Callithrix jacchus: one gene and its partners. The protein of the gene in region 3 purifies or fractionates together with the protein of the main gene of each other region. This does not show direct contact. Links are inferred from orthologs where the notes say so. Each region holds a gene or a part of one and is shown on either strand. Other genes may lie near its edges.

Region 1 (4,174 bases), on a different chromosome or scaffold from region 3:
ATGTGCTTTCCCATGATCCTCCAAGAGATGTAAAAACCATGTTGGCTATTGAAAATGGTGTGGGTTGTCAACAGAAAGTCTGGTTTACAGAGTAAAGGAAACTCATGGGACCAGAAGAATGATATTATGGGATTCGAATTTTAAGCCCAAGACAGTTTGGGTTTAGGGCTGCAGGACGGTGGTTGGTTAGTGCTTCCCAGTCAAGCTCTCCCTTGGACTTTAGGGAAATGAGAAATGTAAGAATACCATGGTGAATTTTTCATGACTGAATGTATTCAAATCCAAAGCACTATTTTCTTGCTTATGGGATGTCAATAGTTATGTCTCATGAAATTGTATTGCTAAAAAAGATGGTAGTTATTTTTACCTCATGGTTTTTAATGTCCTAACTAAACAAAAAAATCGGTAAGTGACACGAAATTCTCTCCCTGCCCAAGTTTTTTGGAAAATTAACTTACGGTGGAAATCCATAAATGTGGGATGTGCTGAAATACCACTGTGCAGCCCCTTACAGTCCCAGTACTGCTCAGACCTGTGCCATGCAGTACAGTACCAGTTAGGTACATGTGGCTATTTAAATTTCAATGAAATAGAATAAAAAATTTAAACCCTCAATGGTACTAGCTACATGTTTCCTCCTCTGGTCCTGGAAATGGGGTGGGAAAATCGCTCTATGTTGCAGTTAGCCTTTTTACCACTAGATGGCGAGGCCTCCTACACAAGTCCTGATGCTGTATGAGTTACCATTTTAATAGCGTTTACCACTGGCTGTCTTGGGCACCATTGGGTGGGTAGGTGGTTCCAGGGAGGGCAGGGCTGAAAGGAGAAGCAGTTGTTGGTAGTTGTGGGCATCCCCAGCCCCCTTTTATAAGATTGTTAGGATCTATATCCTTTTTCTGACTGATACTCTCTGATATTTGTTTTCCTTTTAGGACCTGGTGTTTTCTGCTTCCCCCGATGCCACTATTAGGATTTGGTCGGTCCCCAATGCGTCTTGTGTACAGGTGGTTCGGGCCCATGAGAGTGCTGTGACCGGCCTCAGCCTTCATGCCACTGGTGACTATCTCCTGAGCTCCTCCGATGATCAGGTGCGGTCCCAGCCAGTGCCCTGGAGAGGCCTGCTGGTCCCCAAGCTTGAACATCCTGGGTGGCAGGAACATCTTCCCACCCCAGGTGGTTCCCCAGAACCTCAAAGGGGAATGTTTCCTCTGCTGGGAGGTGCTAGGTTTGCCAGGGTTTGCGAAACCAGGGGCTCTGCCTTCCTGAAGGGCCACCAAAGCCTAGGACCCACTCTCTCTCTGACTCCATCGTCTCTCTCTCTCTCTCTCTTTTTTTTTTTTCCAGTACTGGGCTTTCTCTGACATCCAAACAGGGCGTGTGCTTACCAAGGTGACAGATGAGACCTCCGGCTGCTGTAAGTTGCCTTGTAGACACTCAGCTTTTTGTTTGCTGTTTATCATTTATTTTTATGTTTTATTTAGTCATTTGCTTATTTGTTCTAAAGATACATTTACCACCAGCACCTGTCTAGTGCCAGGCTTTGTCCTGGGTGCACTGACGAATGTGAAGAACAAGGAACCTACCTTTGCTGCTCTTAGTCTCTCCCTGGTGGGCTCTAATCACAGGTCTGTCTTCCCTCTTCCACAGCTCTCACCTGTGCACAGTTCCACCCTGACGGACTCATCTTTGGAACGGGAACCATGGACTCTCAGATCAAGATCTGGGACTTGAAGGTAGGAGAACATGGTAGGCCTCCATCTGAGGCCCCGGGCTGGAGGGAGCGTCTGTGACAGTGCAGTGCTGATTGGGTGCTTGTGGCACCTGGCCTTGAGGGTGGAGAGACACTGGCTGTGCATGTGTGATATGATGGTGTGGTCTGGGTGGCATCCTGCTGGCTGTCCTTCCTGGAAGGACAGTGGTGGACATCTCAGGTAGGAGTTTGCTGAGCCCCATTTTCTTCCTCTCGTGATGTATGGGTGACATATTTTACTCCCCACCGCCACTGTAGGAACGAACCAATGTGGCCAACTTCCCTGGCCACTCGGGCCCCATCACCAGCATTGCCTTCTCTGAGAATGGTTACTACCTGGCGACAGCGGCTGATGACTCCTCTGTTAAGCTTTGGGATCTGCGCAAGCTTAAGAACTTTAAGACGTTGCAGCTGGATAGCAACTTCGAGGTGTGCCCCTCTCCCTCCCCAGCTTCCCATTGTGCCTCCTTATTTGTTGATTATTGAATTAATCTCATTGCTTCTGCTTATCTGCAATTGCCCCATAGTTTCTGTTCCCCTCGTGTGACCTTTCTGTTTCTAACAGGTAAAGTCACTGATCTTTGACCAGAGTGGTACCTACCTGGCCCTTGGGGGCACGGATGTCCAGATCTACATCTGCAAACAATGGACGGAGATTCTTCACTTTACAGGTAGAGGCTGGTCTCTAGGTGCCCAGGCCTGGAGGGAAGCCTCACTGGGTTAGGAATCTCTAAGGCTTGCATGAATTTACCTAAGCAGCTTTCGGTTACCACCTAAGGCAGAGCTTTATAGCTAAGGAAGCAGACTGAGACTGCATGGCAGTAAATGCTAGTACCAGCTCTGCCACTTCCATGCCTTGTGGCATTGGGCAGGTTGCTGGAGGAAGAGAAGACTCCTCCCTCTGAAGGTTTGCTAACTGAATCTGAAATAAATGGACATTAGACAGAGTGACAGGAGGAAAGCCATTTTAATTCTCTGTGCACGAGAGTCCCACAAAACATTAGACTTGCAGAGGGTCAGATGATTGAAGATCATACAGTCACATCCCTTAATGGGGATATGTTCTGAGAAATATCTTGTTAGGCCATTTCGCCATGTGCAACCATTATAGCGTGTACTTACACATACCTAGTGGTGTGGCCTACTACACACCAAGGCTAGTGCTATAACCTTAGTAGAGTCTATTATTGCTCCTAGGCTACAAACCTGTACAGTGTATTAAATGTACTGAATACAGTTATAACACAATGGTAAGTATTTGTGTATCTAAACAGATCTAAACATAGAAAAGGTTCAGTTAAAAATAAGGTATGAGAGATTGTTAAAAAATGGTGCACTGGGAAATGGTGCTTGCCATGAATGGAGCTTGCAGGACTGGAAGTGGCTTTCAGTGAGTGAGTGGTGAGTGAATGTGAAGGCCTAGGACATTACCATACACTGACTGCTGTAGACTTTGTAAACACAGTACACTTCGGTTCTACTAAGTTTATAAAACGCTTTTTCTTCAGTAATAAATTAGCCTTAGCTAACTTTTTTACTTTATAAACTTAAAAAATTGACTCTTGTAACAACATTTAGCTTAAAGCAAACATTGTACAGCTGTACAAAAATATTGTCTCTCTTTACATCCTTGTTCTATAAGCTTTTTTCTGTTTTCTAATATTTTTACTTTTTAATTTTTTCCTGTTAAAAACTAAGATACAAGCACACATTAGCCTAGGCCTACGGGTCAGGAACACCAGCTGTATTAGTCCGTTCTCACACTGTTATGAAGAACTGCCTGAGACTGGGTAATTTATAAGGGCGAGAGGCTTAATGACTCACAGTGACTGGGGAGGCCTCAGGAAGCTTCCAATCATGGTAGAAGGGAAAGCAGCAGCGGGAGAGACAAATGCTGAGCAAAGGGGGTAAAGTCCCTTATAAAATCATCAGATCTCTTGAGAACTCAGTATCCTGAGAGCAGCATGGGAGTAACCACCTCCACAATTCAATTACTTCCCACCGGGTTCCTCCCACAACATGTCGGGATTATGGGCACTACAATTCAACGTGAGCTTTGAGTGGGGGCACAGCCATATCACCAACATCACTGTCTTTACCTCCACATCTTGTCCCACTGGAAGGTCCCAGGGGGCACTAACACGCATAGACCTGTCATCTCCTTTGATGATGCCTTCTTCCTGGATACCTCTTGAAAGGGCCTGCCTGGTGCTGTTTTATAGTTAACTTTTTTTTGTAAGTAGAAAGAATATACTTAAAATAATGCCAAAAAGTACAGTATAGGTATACCTTGTCTTTTTGCACTCAGCTTTATTGTGCTTTGTGGATCCTTTGTTTTTTGTGAATGGAAGATTTTTGGCAGCCCTGCCCCAAGTGGGTCTGTCAGTGCCATTTTTCCAACAGTGTCTATTCACTTGGTGTCTG
Region 2 (4,174 bases), on a different chromosome or scaffold from region 3:
TGGTGGCTGGTGCCTGTAATCCCAGCTACTCGGGAGGTTGAGGTAAGAGAATCACATGAACCCGGGAGGCAGAGGCTACAGTGAGCCAAGATCACACCACTGTACTGCAGCCTGGGTGACAGAGACTCAGACTCAAAAAAAAAAAAAAAAGACATGGAAGAACCTTATATGCTATTACTAAGTGAAAGAAGCCAATTGAAAAAGTCCACATGCTACGTGATTCCAACTATACCACATTCTGGAAAAGGCAAAATTATGGACACAGAAGGATCAGTGGTTGCCAGGAGTTGTAGAGAGGAAAGGAGGAAAGGAAGAATGAATAGGTAGAGCACAGAGGATTTTCAGGACAGTGAAACATGTATATAATGGTGAATACATGTCATTATATTTGTCAAAACCATACAATGTAAAACACCAAGAGGGAATGCTAATGTATACGATGAACTCTGGGTGATAATGAGGTATCCATGTAGTTTCATCGATTATAACAAATATACCACTTTGGTGGGGGATGTTGGTGGTGGGAGAGGCTATGCGTGTGAGGGGGACAGGAAGTATGTGAGAACTCTCTGTACCTTCCACTCAATTTTGTGTGAGCCTAAATTGCTCTAAAAAAATAAAGCGTAGGCCAGGCACAGTGTCTTATGCCTGTAATCCCAGCACTTTGGGACGCCTAGGCAGGTGGATCACAAGGTCAGGAGTTAAGACCATGGTGAAACCCCGTCTGTACTAAAAATACAAAAATTAGCTGGGTATGGTGGCACGTTCCTATAATCCCAGCTACTGGGGAAGCTGAAGCAGGATAACTGCTTGAACCAGGACCCAGGAGGCAGATGTTGCAGTGAGCTGAAATTGTGCCACTACACTCCAACCTGGGCTACAGAAGGAGACTCTGTTAGAAAGGAGGTGGGGAAGGGAGGGGATAGGGAAAGGAAGGAAGGAGGGAGGGAGGGAGGGAGGGGGGTATAGGCCAGAAGTGGTGGCTCACACCTGTAATCCAGCACTTTGGGGGCCACAGCAGGAGAATTGCTTGAGGCCAGGAATTCGAGACCAGTCAGGAAAACATAGTGAGACCTTGTCTCTACCAAAAATTTTTAAAATTTAAATAAATAAGAAAGTGTATTAACTTTTTTAGAATTTGCTTAATCATTGCTCTAATGACAAATTTTGATTAGCAACTAGGTAAAATACAACATAGAGGTAACTGATACAGACCTCTAGTTTCAGAGAGGCTATTAAACTAAACCATTTGACATGGATTATTCTGAACAGTGCAAAACCATTCCAAGCATTTGAAAGCCAAACATAAGGAACTCTGGAAAAGCCCAATTTATAACTATTGAAGCATGAGTATAATTTAAAATGTATCCCTTTCTCAAAATTGATAATAAACATTGACAATCTTCCAGAAAAAATTCATTTGAATTAGAAACACTTTTAGCAACTGTCTGTACTTCTTACTATAAATATCCCTGGATTCCATAGGCATATCAAGAAACTATATTAACTATTTCTATCCAGCTACCTAGAGAACAAGAAGTGTTTTGGCTTGGGAAAGTAACTAAGACATGGAAATTTATTTTACCATTTTGATATCCTTTTTGGCCCTGTGAGAATCAGCCTTGGCCTGGTCATAGGTTAATGCTTTACTTCGTGCACACCACATACTCAGATTATGTAAAACCTAGAAGAATCACAAGTAAGACAATGTCAAGATAGGAAAATCCCATTGTTCCCCATCTCTACAAGGTTGAAAGAATTAATTAAAAATAATCAGCAACTGTTACATAATATGTATTTAATTTACCTGTCTGATATCTTGATTGGCTCCCAAAATTATTTCATTCATAGCTGGAGGGGGAATCTTTAAACCTTCTTTAAATGCAATAGACATCATAGCACCCTGAGATCGACAAGGGAGGAATTTTCAGTGATTTTTTTTTAACTCATATAATCAGATATTTTTAAAATATTTATCAGGTACTTTTAAAAATTGACCCTTAAATAAATAGACTAATGTGAAGGAAAAAAATTTCAATCATCATACCTTAATCTGTTCAACCCGAGGTCTTTGAAAACGAAGATCAAAACAATAATGAACCAGAGAACGAATTTTGGGATGATTTCTATCATTGCACATACAAATAATGGGAATTTTAGTATGCTTTATCAGGCCAATTAATTCCTGAAAGGCAAGTTTGCAACACAAAAATAATTATTTAAAAAATGACAAGTACCACACATCGTATTTTAGGTTCTAAAAATCTCCTCAGCAACATGCCTTAACTGCTATAAATAGGAGAATGACAATGTTTTAATAATCTATATATCAATAATGAAACTGCAAAAATACACCACTTGGATTACCTGAATTCCTCCCCTATCCTCATTGCCTGCCATGCCATCTACTTCATCCATGATGACAGCATGCTTCGTGCTTACTGAAGAGGCTCCATCTGACCCAGGTTGAGGAGCAACGGGATGAGACAAAAACAAAATAACAATTGTTCAAAAACTGCTTTTCTGTAGAAAGTTAGATAAAACATATTAAACTTCAAACACTACAAGAATATGCAGTGTTGGACTAGAGTGTTGTTAAAGAAAAAACAAAATATGCAGTGAAGAGAAACTCTCCCTGCCACCCCTTCCACTGCAGACCCCAATTCCCTTCCCAGAGGCAAACAATAGTCTCTTATATGTCCCTAAAGAGATACACATAAGTGCATAAAAATATGCAACTGAGTTTTGTCATTTTTTTTTTTTTTTTGGAGATAGAGTTTTGCTCTTGTTGCCCAAGCTGGAGTGCAATGACACGATCTCAGCCCATTGCAACCTCTGCCTCCCAGGTTCAAGCGATTCTCTTGCCTCAGCCTCCAGAGTAGCTGAGATTACAGGTGCACACCACCACACCCAGCTAATTTTTGTATTTTTAGTGGAGACGAGTTTTCACCATGCTGGCCAGGCTAGTCTCGAACTCCTGACCTAAGGTAATCCGCCCACCTCAGCCTCCCAAAGTGCTGGGATTACAGGCATGAGCCACCATGCCCGGCCAGTTTTGTCATTTTTATGTATTTTGGTAATTCATACTTTATCTGTAGATATAGGACACATCATTTTTTTAAGGCAATTTAATATTCCATTCTACACTTGTATCACACTTTACTTAATCACTCTCTATTAATGAAATATATAGGATGCTTCCAGGCTTTTTTCTATCATACTAACTAGCTATCCTTATCTATATGGCATATATATATGCCACTATGCACATATAAAAGTATAATAAATGCTAAATTCCAGCAATTAGAATTTCTGGGCTAGAGGGTATATGTAATTTGAGAAATATTGCCAGACTACTCTCCAGAGTTGTACCAATTTACCCTCCCACTCGCCATGTCTAAGAGTGACATTTCCTGAGCAAATTATTTAGAACAATGTGAAGGCATCAAGAATTCAGGTGACAAAACAACACAGTATCGGCTCTAAATAGACCCTGTGTGGTCCTTCATTTGAGTATCTTATTTTCCATGAACTCAGTTACAACCTGAAACACAGTGGGCACTTGCACACTGTCTTCTCTTCTACTACTTTTGCCTGCAATAATCTCTTCCACCTCCAAATGGTTTTCTCTCATTCTTCAAGCTCTTTCCAAACAATTACCACCCCTTTAATTCAACGCCCCAAACATAATTACTACTTCGTCTGCTGGCCTTAATTCCTTACTCATCACACTGTATTACATACGGTTTGTTTATTTTCTTTCTCTGTTTACAGGATTCACCTGTGAATCCTCTAAAATCATATAAACAGCACATAAATATGTGCATGTGCACATTTTTATCATATTCTCAAAAACCTCTAAGACCTATGAAAGGGTACGATACTACCCCATAAGAGTGACATCTGAGGACTTTATTATTCTCTTGTTAGCCCCAGAATTTAATAGGGTGCTTGGCACACAACCTGTGTTCAATACTGGTTACTGAACATTGAAATGAACATATTTTTCTTACATAACAACAGCAGCTGTTCAAAAAGCCACATACTTGAATAAAAGCCTTTGATGCTGGTATTGTTCAGTGACTCAGCAACAATCGCCTTCAAACTGTTCTTACTTCGGGTGTCACTTGCATTCAGTTCCACGTAGCTGTATCCCAACTCCTAATCAAAATAT
Region 3 (4,637 bases):
GGAGATATGGATTACAGATTCTTGTATTTAACTGTGGCGCCAAAAAGAGAAAGAGAGAAACAAACAAAAAAACATGGGAATACCATCCATTTCGATGTTCATTATACAGGCAGTATCTGCCTGGTAGTATTTTAGGTGTTATGGATTATTCCATTCCTTCAATTCATATATTACAACAAAACGACTAATATTATTTTATTTGTTATATTTAAAAATTATCTTTCTACAAATATTAATTAATCTGTACTGAGTTTCTTACATATATAAGCACTACTTAGAAGCAGGACAAAACAAAACGTATTCCCATTTTCCTTTAGGATCAGAAAATTCTATAGAAATTGAAAATATGACAGTACTAAATGCTAGGCCAATAGATATAAAATTAAAAATAAAATTGTTTTCCTGCTAATTACATAAAACCAGTCAATACTAGAATGCTTTAGTTACCAAAAGGATGGTTATCTTCTTTAAACTGGACAAAAGATGTACACATGATGGTTGCCTTAGCGGTTACTTTTCCAACCACTTCTATAATTCCAGATATTTCTTCATCAAGCTAAGACATGGAACAAAACATCAATTTACTGTTATCACATTTTCAGTTGACAATTAATTTGGAAAACTGTTAATACAGATTACTAATCTTTCAATTCAAGTAAGAAAGTAATTTTAAAAATTACCAGTGCTAAAGTTAAAATGTAACTGGTTAAAAAACGTTTCAGTACTTAACTGAGAGCATGTTAAAATTCCTGTTACCATGAGTAGTAGCTTCAAATCCAAAGCTACAATTCAAGTTAAAGACAAAATTACTTATTGAAAACGTCCAGCATTTCTATAAGCAGTAATTTCTTATTGAGAGGAAGAACCTTCTATAATTTGTATTTCACAATGTATACTGTATAACCAAGTATCATATGGATCTGTCTTCACAAAATACCAAAAAAGTTCTAAGTACATTAAACATAAAATGAAAAAATAAGTAAGTAAAAACTGGAAATATATAAACAAAAACAGAAAATAAAATAAAATTTAAAACACTTGCTGGGTTAGTCCAGGCAGGAGGATGGTTGCTTGAGACCAAGAGTTCAAGACAAGCCTGAGTAACATAGGGAGATGCCATCTCTACCAAAAAAAAAAAAAAAAAAAAATTAACTAGACACAATTGAGCATGCCTAAAGTCCCAGCTACTGGGGAGGCTGAGATGGGAGCAACTTGATCGTGGAAGGCTGAGGCTGCAGTGAGCCACGATGGTGCCACTGCATTCTACCTGGGGCAACAGAGTGAGACCCTGTCTCAAAACAAAAAAACTCTTGAGGAAGAAAAAAGCAGTTTAAATTTTTCTTATGTAATTTTATGGCCTTTCATAAGGAATGAAAATTGTTATCCAGCATTTAAGGGACATGTTCAAAAATCATGAAGCCCAATAAAAACCATCGATTACAAATGTAAAAGGAAATATAATGAGAGAATAGTACAAGAATTTAATTTTAGAGCCAGGGATGTTTCACCAGCTCATCTTTTTTACATCCACTCCAAAAATTAGAAACATCAACAACAAACCAAACCCAGTTGAAGAATTAACTATAATATACATGAGACCTATTAATACTTAAACATACAGGTTCCATCAACTCGATGGTTACATTTTTTCCTTCTCCATCTGAAAGAATAAACATTTTTCCGGTGGGATGAATCTAAAACGAAACATATGATTAAAATCTCATTAAAACAACAAATAAGTTTGACAAAAGATGAGCACATTGATCCTTAGTTGAGCACAAATCGTTTTTTGAACAGTTTATTCATTCTATTCAATTTATTGGTTCAAATTATAATCTTATATTACCAAATCTGTTCATGGGACACACAGTTAATTTGGAAGTTCGGACAAACAAGGAATGTGTTTTGTAGTATAAGTAGGTTCTGCATTTGCTAAATATGGCAATCCTATTCCAATAACAAATTAAAGGGAGGCCCGCCCTAGCTAAAAGTGAAACCTGCTGGCAATTATGATTTAGACAGTACACAACCCATGGAGTTTATGTTTTAAAAATCAGGCATGATGAAGTTAACGGAGAACTGGTTGCTAGAATATCTGGGTCCTACTCCTGGCAAGTAGCTGTAAAGAGCGCTGTGAGATCTCATTTGAATGCCAGCTTTGCCACTTGCTGGGTTTCGAAGCATTTGAGTCAACCACCTATCACTCCTACTCAGTTTCCCTACTTGTGAAGTCAGAGTAACACTCATTTAAGGAAGAGGATGTGTAGATGCAATGAGCTACTACTAAGTCTTTATATAATAGTTCCCCCCCCCCCCCCCCCGGCCCCAGCTTCTCAGGTCTCTGATTCCAAGACTTTGGGCCTGTTTCTCTCCAGTAGAATGAGGGGACTTCACTTTAATAGTGGGGCTAGATAACTCACTACTACGGGACTCAAAGCGGACAATCAAGGCAGGTTTTGCAAAGAAGCCATTACAACGAGGAAACGAGGTCTGCAAAAAGAAGTGATTTCAGAAGAGAAGGAATAAGCAGATTAGTTTTGACGGCGTCTATCACGTCTGAGTAAACTAAGAAATTTGAAGGTAGATGTGGGAGTCGTGTCTATAGTTTCCCTTAGATAAGCACTGCCTGGATGGAGGCGAAGAACATTGGAATTTAGAACGCAAAGCATTTGAAAACACCTTGTTTCCCTGCCATAAAAGAGGCGCCAAAATGGGGCTATAATGGTTAAACAATTTTCAAAATGACTCCTTGTGCAAAATAAAGGATTCGGAAGCGCAGTGATCTGAGGCTTCCCATCCTCCTTCATCCCCCATTACCCAGTTATCCACTCAAAATCCGCCACCCAGGAGGTCAAAGGGTCCCTCCCTCCGGCCTCGGATAGCGGAGCACACGACGACGAACCCGCACACCTTTTCCAGCCTCCCTACGAAGCAGACAGGCTTGTCGATGAACTGAGTTAGCATGCTGACGTTCATGCGCGCCCTGGGCAACTCCATCATATCCACCATGATTATATGGTCCAAGACTGCGGCTGGCGGGAAACCCACGGAAGACTAACTAAAACTGTGAGCCCCGCGGGTGTCTATGGGGCAGATTTCTCTGTACTAATCAGCGAAGACTAGCGCTCCAGCTTCGCCAATTAAATGCGCGGAAACTTACGTCGCCGTCGCGCCGTCTCTGAAAGGGGTGCGGAAGGGGCGTGATGCGTCCGGAAGTGGAGATTGGCTGCTTAGTGACGCGCGGCGTCCCGGAAGTTGCCGGATCCCAGGCTAGCGGCAGTGGAGGTAGGGCTTGGATAGGGGCGGAACCTCAGGCTCCCCTTCTGCGGTCACGGGCTTCTCCGCGTTGATTTGACCCCGGAAGTGGGGTGTTGAGCTCCGGTGCCGGTGCAGCGCGGGACTGCGGCACGAGCCTCAGGTACCTCTTCTCGCGGGAGGCGCCGCAGCCTTACTGTTTCCTCATTCTTCCGGCTAACAGAGTCAAAAGAGCTAGGCGGGATGTCGGTACCAGCTGTTGCCGTGGTGCTGTGGTTGCTGCGTACCAGCTGTTACTGTTGCTCCGCCTTCCCTCTCCTAGGTTCTGGGTGGGAGGCGCTGGAGTTTTGCTGAATGAAATGTGGTGTGGGGAGGGGTCGCGGGGGTGGTTGTGATACTTGCTCCTTTGGAGATGGGGAGCGGGGGTCGTCAGTGATCTTTATCAATTTCAGGCTTTTGCCACTTGTTGCCTGAGGATCGATTTACTCCCTTAGCTGCGTCACTCTACTTTCTTAAGTTTCTCCACCTGTAAGAAGAGAGATTGGCCCGATTGCTTCTAAGACTTTTTTTGTTGTTATTGTTTTTTTTAGCCCAGACAACCTGGCTACACTGCGGTGGTGCCGGTTCTCTCGCTCCACTACCCGCTGTTTTGGCAGCCAGTAGAAGCACTTGAGATTGGGTAATGGGGAAGAAGGACCACTGACCAGGACCAGAGAAGACAAGCTCAAATCGTTGATACCCTGAACTAGTGTTCCCCGAGCTACGGTTCCCCCTTCTGAGGCATATTTTCCCCGTCTGCAAAACAAAGGGTTAGGCGGAATGATTTGCAAGGTCCCAGTTGACTCTTAACTTTTGGCCATTTGCTTGACGCAACAGTTTAAATCCCCCACCCCACCCCCAGCAGTCTTTCTGTTGTTGTCCTCCACAACCCGAGACTCTGGAGGGCGATCTGGAGGTCTGGAAGATAACCCTTTCCAGGGAGATTTGGAGGTAGTCACCAATCTGTCCCTGGCTATCTTGTGACCCGAAGCCGGCGGGCTTGCCATGAATATTCTAAACATAAACATACCTTCAAACGGTGCTGTGGAATTTGGACAGAAGTTTTAATTGGGTGTTATAACGTTGTGGAAACTGAGTCTGTGAGTTTACCCAAAGCTGCAGAATTGTCATTGTTCATATTCCCTAAGCAAAAAAGATCCGGTTTGAGAATTAACGTGGCAATTTAAGATTGGAATCTGATGTACGATAATTAAATGATAGTCTGCCTCAGTGTTAACTTAGCACTTAATAGGTTTCTCTTAGTTTTACTCACTAATAGTAGTTTAAATGATTTCGTTAAACAGATGTAGAATGTGTATCAGTGGTGTATAAAAAGTTGTGGT

Evidence for each region. Proteins that work in one complex are often made in the same cells at the same time.
Region 1: the proteins of RPA3 (region 3) and PRPF19 purify together in Homo sapiens (affinity purification with western blotting; 3 studies listed by BioGRID, with this or other methods). This does not show direct contact. The link is inferred for Callithrix jacchus from reciprocal best matches to the Homo sapiens genes RPA3 and PRPF19.
Region 2: the proteins of RPA3 (region 3) and RFC1 purify together in Homo sapiens (affinity purification with mass spectrometry; 3 studies listed by BioGRID and IntAct, with this or other methods). This does not show direct contact. The link is inferred for Callithrix jacchus from reciprocal best matches to the Homo sapiens genes RPA3 and RFC1.

What each region holds. Positions count from the first base shown.
Region 1 is NC_133511.1:117,920,190-117,924,363, reverse strand, and holds part of PRPF19 (pre-mRNA-processing factor 19), read left to right. Parts: intron 1-932; coding exon 933-1,088; intron 1,089-1,344; coding exon 1,345-1,414; intron 1,415-1,647; coding exon 1,648-1,733; intron 1,734-2,008; coding exon 2,009-2,179; intron 2,180-2,315; coding exon 2,316-2,421; intron 2,422-4,174. UniProt on the Homo sapiens protein: Ubiquitin-protein ligase which is a core component of several complexes mainly involved pre-mRNA splicing and DNA repair. Required for pre-mRNA splicing as component of the spliceosome.
Region 2 is NC_133504.1:154,497,035-154,501,208, reverse strand, and holds part of RFC1 (replication factor C subunit 1), read right to left. Parts: intron 4,162-4,174; coding exon 4,047-4,161; intron 2,457-4,046; coding exon 2,368-2,456; intron 2,186-2,367; coding exon 2,048-2,185; intron 1,904-2,047; coding exon 1,808-1,903; intron 1,685-1,807; coding exon 1,586-1,684; intron 1-1,585. UniProt on the Homo sapiens protein: Subunit of the replication factor C (RFC) complex which acts during elongation of primed DNA templates by DNA polymerases delta and epsilon, and is necessary for ATP-dependent loading of proliferating cell nuclear antigen (PCNA) onto primed DNA.
Region 3 is NC_133512.1:51,152,819-51,157,455, reverse strand, and holds the start of RPA3 (replication protein A 14 kDa subunit), read right to left. Parts: upstream 3,061-4,637; 5' UTR 3,010-3,060; coding exon 2,911-3,009; intron 1,695-2,910; coding exon 1,620-1,694; intron 557-1,619; coding exon 448-556; intron 1-447. UniProt on the Homo sapiens protein: As part of the heterotrimeric replication protein A complex (RPA/RP-A), binds and stabilizes single-stranded DNA intermediates that form during DNA replication or upon DNA stress.